Linked DNA regions of Callithrix jacchus. The protein of the gene in region 1 interacts with the protein of each later gene in a biochemical or structural test. Links are inferred from orthologs where the notes say so. Each region holds a gene or a part of one and is shown on either strand. Other genes may lie near its edges.

What was found.
Region 2: of the proteins of FBXO7 (region 1) and UXT, one has a biochemical effect on the other in vitro, tested with the Homo sapiens proteins (2 studies listed by BioGRID). The link is inferred for Callithrix jacchus from reciprocal best matches to the Homo sapiens genes FBXO7 and UXT.

Annotation. Positions count from the first base shown.
Region 1 is NC_133502.1:203,537,095-203,540,748, forward strand, and holds part of FBXO7 (F-box only protein 7), read right to left. Parts: intron 1,007-3,654; coding exon 779-1,006; intron 1-778. UniProt on the Homo sapiens protein: Substrate recognition component of a SCF (SKP1-CUL1-F-box protein) E3 ubiquitin-protein ligase complex which mediates the ubiquitination and subsequent proteasomal degradation of target proteins and plays a role in several biological processes such as cell cycle, cell proliferation, or maintenance of chromosome stability.
Region 2 is NC_133524.1:48,614,943-48,618,596, forward strand, and holds part of UXT (protein UXT), read right to left. Parts: coding exon 3,592-3,654; intron 3,312-3,591; coding exon 3,204-3,311; intron 1-3,203. UniProt on the Homo sapiens protein: Involved in gene transcription regulation. Acts in concert with the corepressor URI1 to regulate androgen receptor AR-mediated transcription. Together with URI1, associates with chromatin to the NKX3-1 promoter region.

The DNA.
Region 1 (3,654 bases):
TTGTAGGATAATTACAATATATTGTATATTATAGAATATAACACTTTTAATCAAAATTTTTTGTTCAAATAGGTAAAATTACATCATGTAAACAGGAATTTCTCTCTTCAAAGACTTACTTCTCTGCCTAGCAAAGCCATATTATTTAAAACTCCAGCTCAAATATCACTTCCACTGTAGAGCCTTTTTCAAAGAAAAATTGTTTGCCATTTCCTTTTGCCCCCTAACATTCTATTCATATTTCCATTACACTTCTATTGTATTATTATCTAGGTTTACTTATGTTATTTATAATTATCTTTTCATTTGTCTCTCCCCCATTTATGCATGGACTCCTTGAGGATAAGAAATAGCCCAACATTTTTATATCCTAATTCCTGGCTCAGTGCATCTCACACTGCAGCTGTGCTCTGATCACCAAATTACTCTCGATCTCTGTAACTTACAACATGGTCCACAGACCGGCACCATTGGTATTATGCAGGCATATGCAGAAGTTCACGATCTGTTATACAGTTACTAAATCAGAATCTGCATTTTAGTAAGATCCCGGCTATTCCAAAGCACATTAAAGTTTGAGAAGCTCTATTCTAAATGTTCTCCTCCATGAATTCCTGGCATCCTATATATGCATATGTCTCTCCCAGAACTTCACCAATACAGTACAGTGCTTTATATATTTATCTATCTCTGCCACTCTCAGACTATGGGCAACCTGAGAGCAGGAACCATCCACATGTAGGAGCAATAATGTTTGTGTTTTGCTTGCAGTAATTACCTGAGGTGTGTAACCTGACTCCAACATGAGAAGATGTATCAACACTATCAAGGCATCACTGGCATCAGAACAGTTAGCTGATTGATACAAGGTCTCTAATGAATGTGGCACTTGCCCTTCCACCGATTCACTGCAGAGCATGGGTTCTGAGGGATAGAAACCTGTGCTCTCTTCCATAACCGCAATATCTTGAATTGACTCAGCTTCAAAATTTTGACTGGGCCCTGACTGAAAAAAGGAAAACAAAACAATGAATTCATTAAAAAGACTTATTTTTACACAATACATTTTTGTATTCTAGAGTGAACTAAGTGCTGAAAGTCAAAGTACATCACTGGGTTCAGAAATGGGAGACATTTTAAGTGAGTCCTCATAAATAAATAAGCCTGTGACCTACTCTTCCATCCTGAATTCCTCACCTCCATTAATGCTAGCTGATATGCCAAAAACCTGGAAATCATCCTAGACTCCTCCCTCTACCTAGCTAAACCTAGTCCCAAATCTGATCAGTCTTCAAAGTTCCACTGAAATTAATTCCTAAATATGTCTAAAATTTGCCCCTTTCTACTCCACTGGTACTTCAGACTCTCATCATTTATTTCCTGACCTCCAGCCAAAGCTTCCCTTGCAAGTATCCCTGCTTCTACTTTATTGTCTTCCAATACATCCCACCCACTGCGGCCAGAGTTTTCTTGACAATTAAGAATCTGATCATGTACTATGTTCCAGCTTAAAATTCACCAGTACCCCCCCCCAATACAGACAAGAGCACTTCCCTCAATTGTGCCTTAGATGCTCTTAGGAACAAAGGTGGTCCACATGGAATAGACGTGGAAAATGCTATATGCTGCAGCCACCTAACCTCACCCTCCATATTCACAAAATACACTATTAGCATTATAAAAGCACTGAAGAGTCTAATAACAGTAATAATAGTGTGTATAACACTTTAGCAAAAAACATCATCTTCGGTCCTCAACAGTCAGCATCTTTGTAGCACAATCTCATGAAATGAGATTTTTAGAGGACACTGAGACACACAGGCCTACAAATTAAGCCCAAATTTCTAAATCCCTTAGCATCCAAAGTGCTTCATCATCTGATTGCTGACTCATTTATCAAGTTCACTTTCTGCCAGTGCCTTCTTACTCACTGCAGTATTCTCTACTTCTTCAAAAGAGGTAACATGACCACAACTCTGTCTTGCAACGGCCTTAATTACTGCACCTTATCAAAGTGTCTTGCAATTTTCTGATTACATATCTGCATCCTTCCATGACTGCAAACTTATAAAAAACAGAATATATGTCACCCATTTTTGTAACCCCAATAAAGTACTAGCACATTGCAAGTACTCAATAAATCTTTGCTGAACAAATGCTGAAGGATAATACCTTACAATTTCATAATGTCTTTATTTTCAAAATGTTTTCTTATTTGCACCTTATAACAATCCTATAAAATAGGCATGGCAGATATTGTCTTTTTATAGATCCTATAATTGTAAATCAGAAAGATTAAATAACACAATCAAGGTTATCCAGCTAATAAAAATTTGAAATGAACCCAGATCTCCAAACATGCAGTTCAGGGCTTTGAGATGTAATACATGACTTCAAAAAAACTACGTTACCTGTATTAAATTTGCTCAGAAAGCTTGTTTCCTAAGCATATGCTCAACTCTTAATGCAAAGCATACATTTCCTTGTTTTTAGGCTTTGTATTTCCATTAAAGGGGCGAAGGAAATTAAAACTACACAATGTGTGTAAAAGGTTGGAGGAATGTAAGGGAGCCAGAGGTGACAGCTGTTCTTCCATAATCTCTGAGGACCTAAGCCCTATGACTTATGGAAAAGCTCCACAGTCACTTGTTAAAACCTAGAGGCCAATGACAAGTCACACTACTTAAAAAGGAGCACAAAAATATTTCCATGTTTTCTGAGAAAACAGAAACGACTACATTGAAAACCACGTAATATCAACTGAACTATGAAACACAGGTTTTGCTTCTTTACCGTTACACCTAACGTTTGGCCATTTACTACTTACTGGCAGTTGTGTGGGACAGAATATATGCGGAAAATGAGTATATGAGAGAGAGATCTCAAAATCCTCTGGTGGGCTTGTCAAACCTTACTCCTACTCCATGAGAACCACTGACATTCTCTGAGCTATTCTGATATGGATATTTATCAAAATCTTCACGTGTGAAAATGAAAAAAAAAATGGTGAGCCCCACACCTCTCTGAACAGATCATTTTGCCATATGGCATTTACAAAAGACTAAAACAAGTGCCTAAGATGCACGAGAGCTAATATTACGTTCTGATACATGTTACCTCGGCTTCTCATTAAAGACTCAAGAGATACTAGATGAATTCTCAAATATGATAAGAAAATTTTATATACAACTACAAGAGTAACATTTACCTCCTATGGATTCAAGTTTTACTCATCTATTTTCCTTTTCTAATGCTCCATTCTACATTAGCAGAGTGTAATGTACTTGAAAGCATTATTTATGAAATCTCAAGCTCAGTTTTCATACTTAAGATTTTCCTATGACCCTTTACAAGTCTTAGAATATAAAGCAATATGCAAAATTTTAGAACTGAAATTAGTAACTTCAGGCAACATTAATTTCTCAAAATTTTCCAAAAGAAAACTAGCAAACTGGTCAGGTTTGCAATCCCAGCAGTTTGGGAGGTTGAGGCAGGTGGATCACCTGAGGTCAGGAGTTTGAGACCAGCCTAACCAACATGGAGAAACACCATTTCTACTAAAAATACAAAATTAGCCAGGTGTGGTGGTGCCTGCCTGTAATCCCAGCTACTCAGGAGGCTGAGACAGGAGAATAGCTTGAACTTGGGAGGCGG
Region 2 (3,654 bases), on another chromosome or scaffold:
GACGCTGAGGTGGGAGTGTGCCTGGCATGTTTGAGGTGCAGCAAAGAGGCCACTGTGGCTGGAAAAGAATAAGTGAAGGGGGAATGTAGGCGGTGAGGTTAGAGGGGTAATGAGGGAGGCAGATTGTGTAAAGCCTACAAGGTCATGGTAAGGACCCTAGCTTTGACCTTAAGTGAGATGGGAACCAGGGGAAGATCGTGGCAGAGGAAGGAGGTTGAATTACATTAACTAGTCAGTTGACTCCTTTTATCTAAGCCAGTTTGGATTAGGTCTCACCCAAAAGAATCCTAACTGATATAAAGGGTCAAGGAAGGCCTTTCTAAACAATGAAGAATGAGAAGGAATGGAAGAATGCCTAATGATTAAGCAGGAGGAAGGCCTTTTCCACAAAAAGGCCAAGAGGCAGCAATGAGCTGTTTGAGGAGCAGTGAGGTCAGTGTGTTAGAAATTAAGTGAATGGTGAAGGAAGGTGGTATAACAACATCCTAGATCATCCGGGGTCTTGATATCATGATAAGGAATGTGGATTTTATTGTGTTGTCAATGTAGGAGTCAGTTTGAGGGGTAAATAAAACTAAATACTATTGGAAAAGTAGACAGCATTAAGACAGGATGCTAAATTGGAAAAAAAAAGTAGTATGAACCCATATGTACCAATATCTCCCATATTTCTTTTTCTAGCCCAGAACTCTCTTCTGAACTTGACTAGGAGTTTTAATGACATCTTCCAAAAATCCACTTCAGTGTTTAATAAGTACATCATACCTAACAGGTTCCAGACTAAACTCCTGACTTTCCCCTCCAAATCCAGTCCTCCCCTACCGTCTCCATCTCAGATAATGGCAACTCCGTCCTTCCAGTTGCTCAGCTAAAAACCTGGACTCCCCTCTCTCACACTTCACATCTAGTCAGCCATTCTACTTAAAATCACGACTGCTCCATTGCTTCTGATCTCCACGATATGCTTTCTCCATAGCACTGTCAACATCTGACATACTACATCATTCGTTTATTGTTTATCTCCCCTGACTAGAATGTCAGCTGTATGAGGGCAGATTTTGGTCTTTTTTGTTTACTGCTGTATCCTCAGGGACCAGAATAATGTCCCTGAGCAGGGACTGTTCTGTGTCAATGGCACAGAGCAGGCACCCAACGTATATTGAATAAGTGCCTACTCCATTCAAAGGAACCTGAAGTTGGTTGAGTGTATGTTTAGGAACAGGAACTAAATGAAGTATGGGTGTTGTTGCCAGAGAGCAAGAATACTTTCAAGAATATTCTGGGGTAATGCTTAAAAAACAGAAGAATGAATCTGATCAGTTCCTAAGGGCCAATTTGAACATAAAAAATGAGAACAAAATTAGTTAATGGTATAAGCTTAGCCTATGAAAACCTATGAGCTTAACACTTAAGAAGAAAAATGCAGTTTACCAAGTGCTAGCTGTAACACAAAAGGGATATGTTTATTACTACTGATTTATTTTTATTTTCTATGTGGAGAAGCAAAGTACTACTGATTTAGCATGTAAGGTAGTGTGAGCAGTCATATGGTTATGCTGTTTCTTCTATAATTACATGTCTATACATGAGATGTGGATGTGTAGTCCTTTCTGTGTCATCAGGAAAGAATATACAGAGATTTCATCCCTTCCACTTCCTGAACAAAGAAATATACTAAGAACAGGAAGAACACTTTTGATCACATAAAATAACCAGAAAGTTAGTTCAAAGTATATCCCAAGTAACCAAGTGTTTTAAAGGGGAGAGCCAGCTACATAGACTCAAATCCTCATCTCTTAGAAAAATTAAACTTCTAGACGGCCCTACTAATTATAATAACGCAATAAAAGAGTCAACTATATTTTTCATCACACTAATAGACCAGGTAGTATATCAAAAAGACCAGGCGAGGGAGCAGGCACTGACAATTTAAATATTTCATTTGGGAGAAGTATACGGAGTCTCAAAAAATTAAAATCTATTTGATAGGCTCAGGAATCCTGTGACATTAACAAGGAAAGCCTTCTTATAAAAACTGGACTTTAGCCAGGTGTCATAGCTCACGCCTTCAATCCCAGCACTTTGGGAGGCTGAGGTGTGCCAATCACCTTAGGTCGTCAGTTTGAGACCAGCCTGGCCAACATGGTAAAACCCCGTTTCTACTAAAAGTACAAAAATTAGCCAGGAGTGGTGGTGAGCACCTGTAATCCCAGCTACCCGGTGCAATGGTGTGCCTGTAGTCTCAGCTACTTGGTAGGCTGAGGCAAGATGACTGCTTGAGCTCAGGAGTTTGAGGATGTAGTATGCTATGATTGCAGCTGTAAACAGTCACTGCATTCCAGCTTGGGCAACACAGCAAGACACCATCTCTTAAAAACAAAAACACAGAGTGTCTACTATATGCTTGTACTACTCTAGTCACCTTGGGTATAAACCAAATCTCCCCCTTTGCAAAACTTATATTCTAATTGGAGGAGACAATATGAGAAAGAAATTACACAGTAAATATTAGGGCATGATAAGTGTTATGGAAAAAAAGTAGAAGGAGGGGAATCAAGTGTGCCAGGGGCTGTGATTTTAAAGTTAGGTTACAGAGCACCTGGTTGAGGAAGTGACATTTAAGCAAGACAACTGAGTAAGGAGAAAGGAAGCCATGTGGGTACTGGGGAAAAGAGCAGTGCAGGCAGAGAGAACAGCCACGGCAATTGCCCTGGGGTGGGATCATTCTTGGGATGTTGAAAGAAGCATGTGAAGGTCAGTGTGGCAGGAACACAGTGAATGAATAGTAAAATTAGCAGGAAGTGAAATCACAGGTAACTAGTTTTCTTGTTACCAATTTTAACAGGCTGAGACCTCATGGATCTGGTCATAATTCTATTTATGTATAACAGTGTAGTCCTTCTAGATTGAAAGCCTTCAAGGAACTCTTCTGTCTTGTTCACTGCTGCATTCCCACTGCTAAGCAATGCCTGGCATACAGAAGATGCCCAATAAATGTTTACATGAACAAACAATACAAAGATCATTTTTTGAATGCTTATTATGTGCTACACATGGGCTTTGCATCCCCATTTCTTCAGTCCCAGCTCTGAGGAGGTGGGGAGATGAGTCCTTAAATATCATTCCAGGCAGCCATTGGGAAAGAAAGGAGAGTGTTGGAAATGGTAGTGTTTTTACACACTATCCTCATGGAATGGACTTACTCTGTGAGGAGAGAGCTCTTACGATCAATGAACCTGAGAGCTTCTGCCAGTGTCAACTCCAGGAAAAAACCATATCCCAGGGCCACATAGATGCGTGAAGTATCTGGGCTGAGGAGAGAGAGGTTAGAGGAAGTGGAGGGGAGTCCTCATCACTGTTTAGCATAGTTTATGTTTTGCTTCCCACCCTTCCCCAAATTGAGCCTCTGGGAAGGCAGGGATTTTGTCCGATTTTAATCACTGTCACATCCCAGCACCTAGCTTATATCCTATTGGGATATAAAATCTTGTATAGTGCCTGGTATATAGAAGATACTCAAAAAAATATATGTTGCATGAGGGAAGGGGGAAGCTGAACCCCGTGGGCTCAGAGGGATGGGTAGACACTCACACCACTGTGTCAACGAAGAAGTTACAGCCCAAATCCACCTGCATATATAACTCCGAGTGCTTA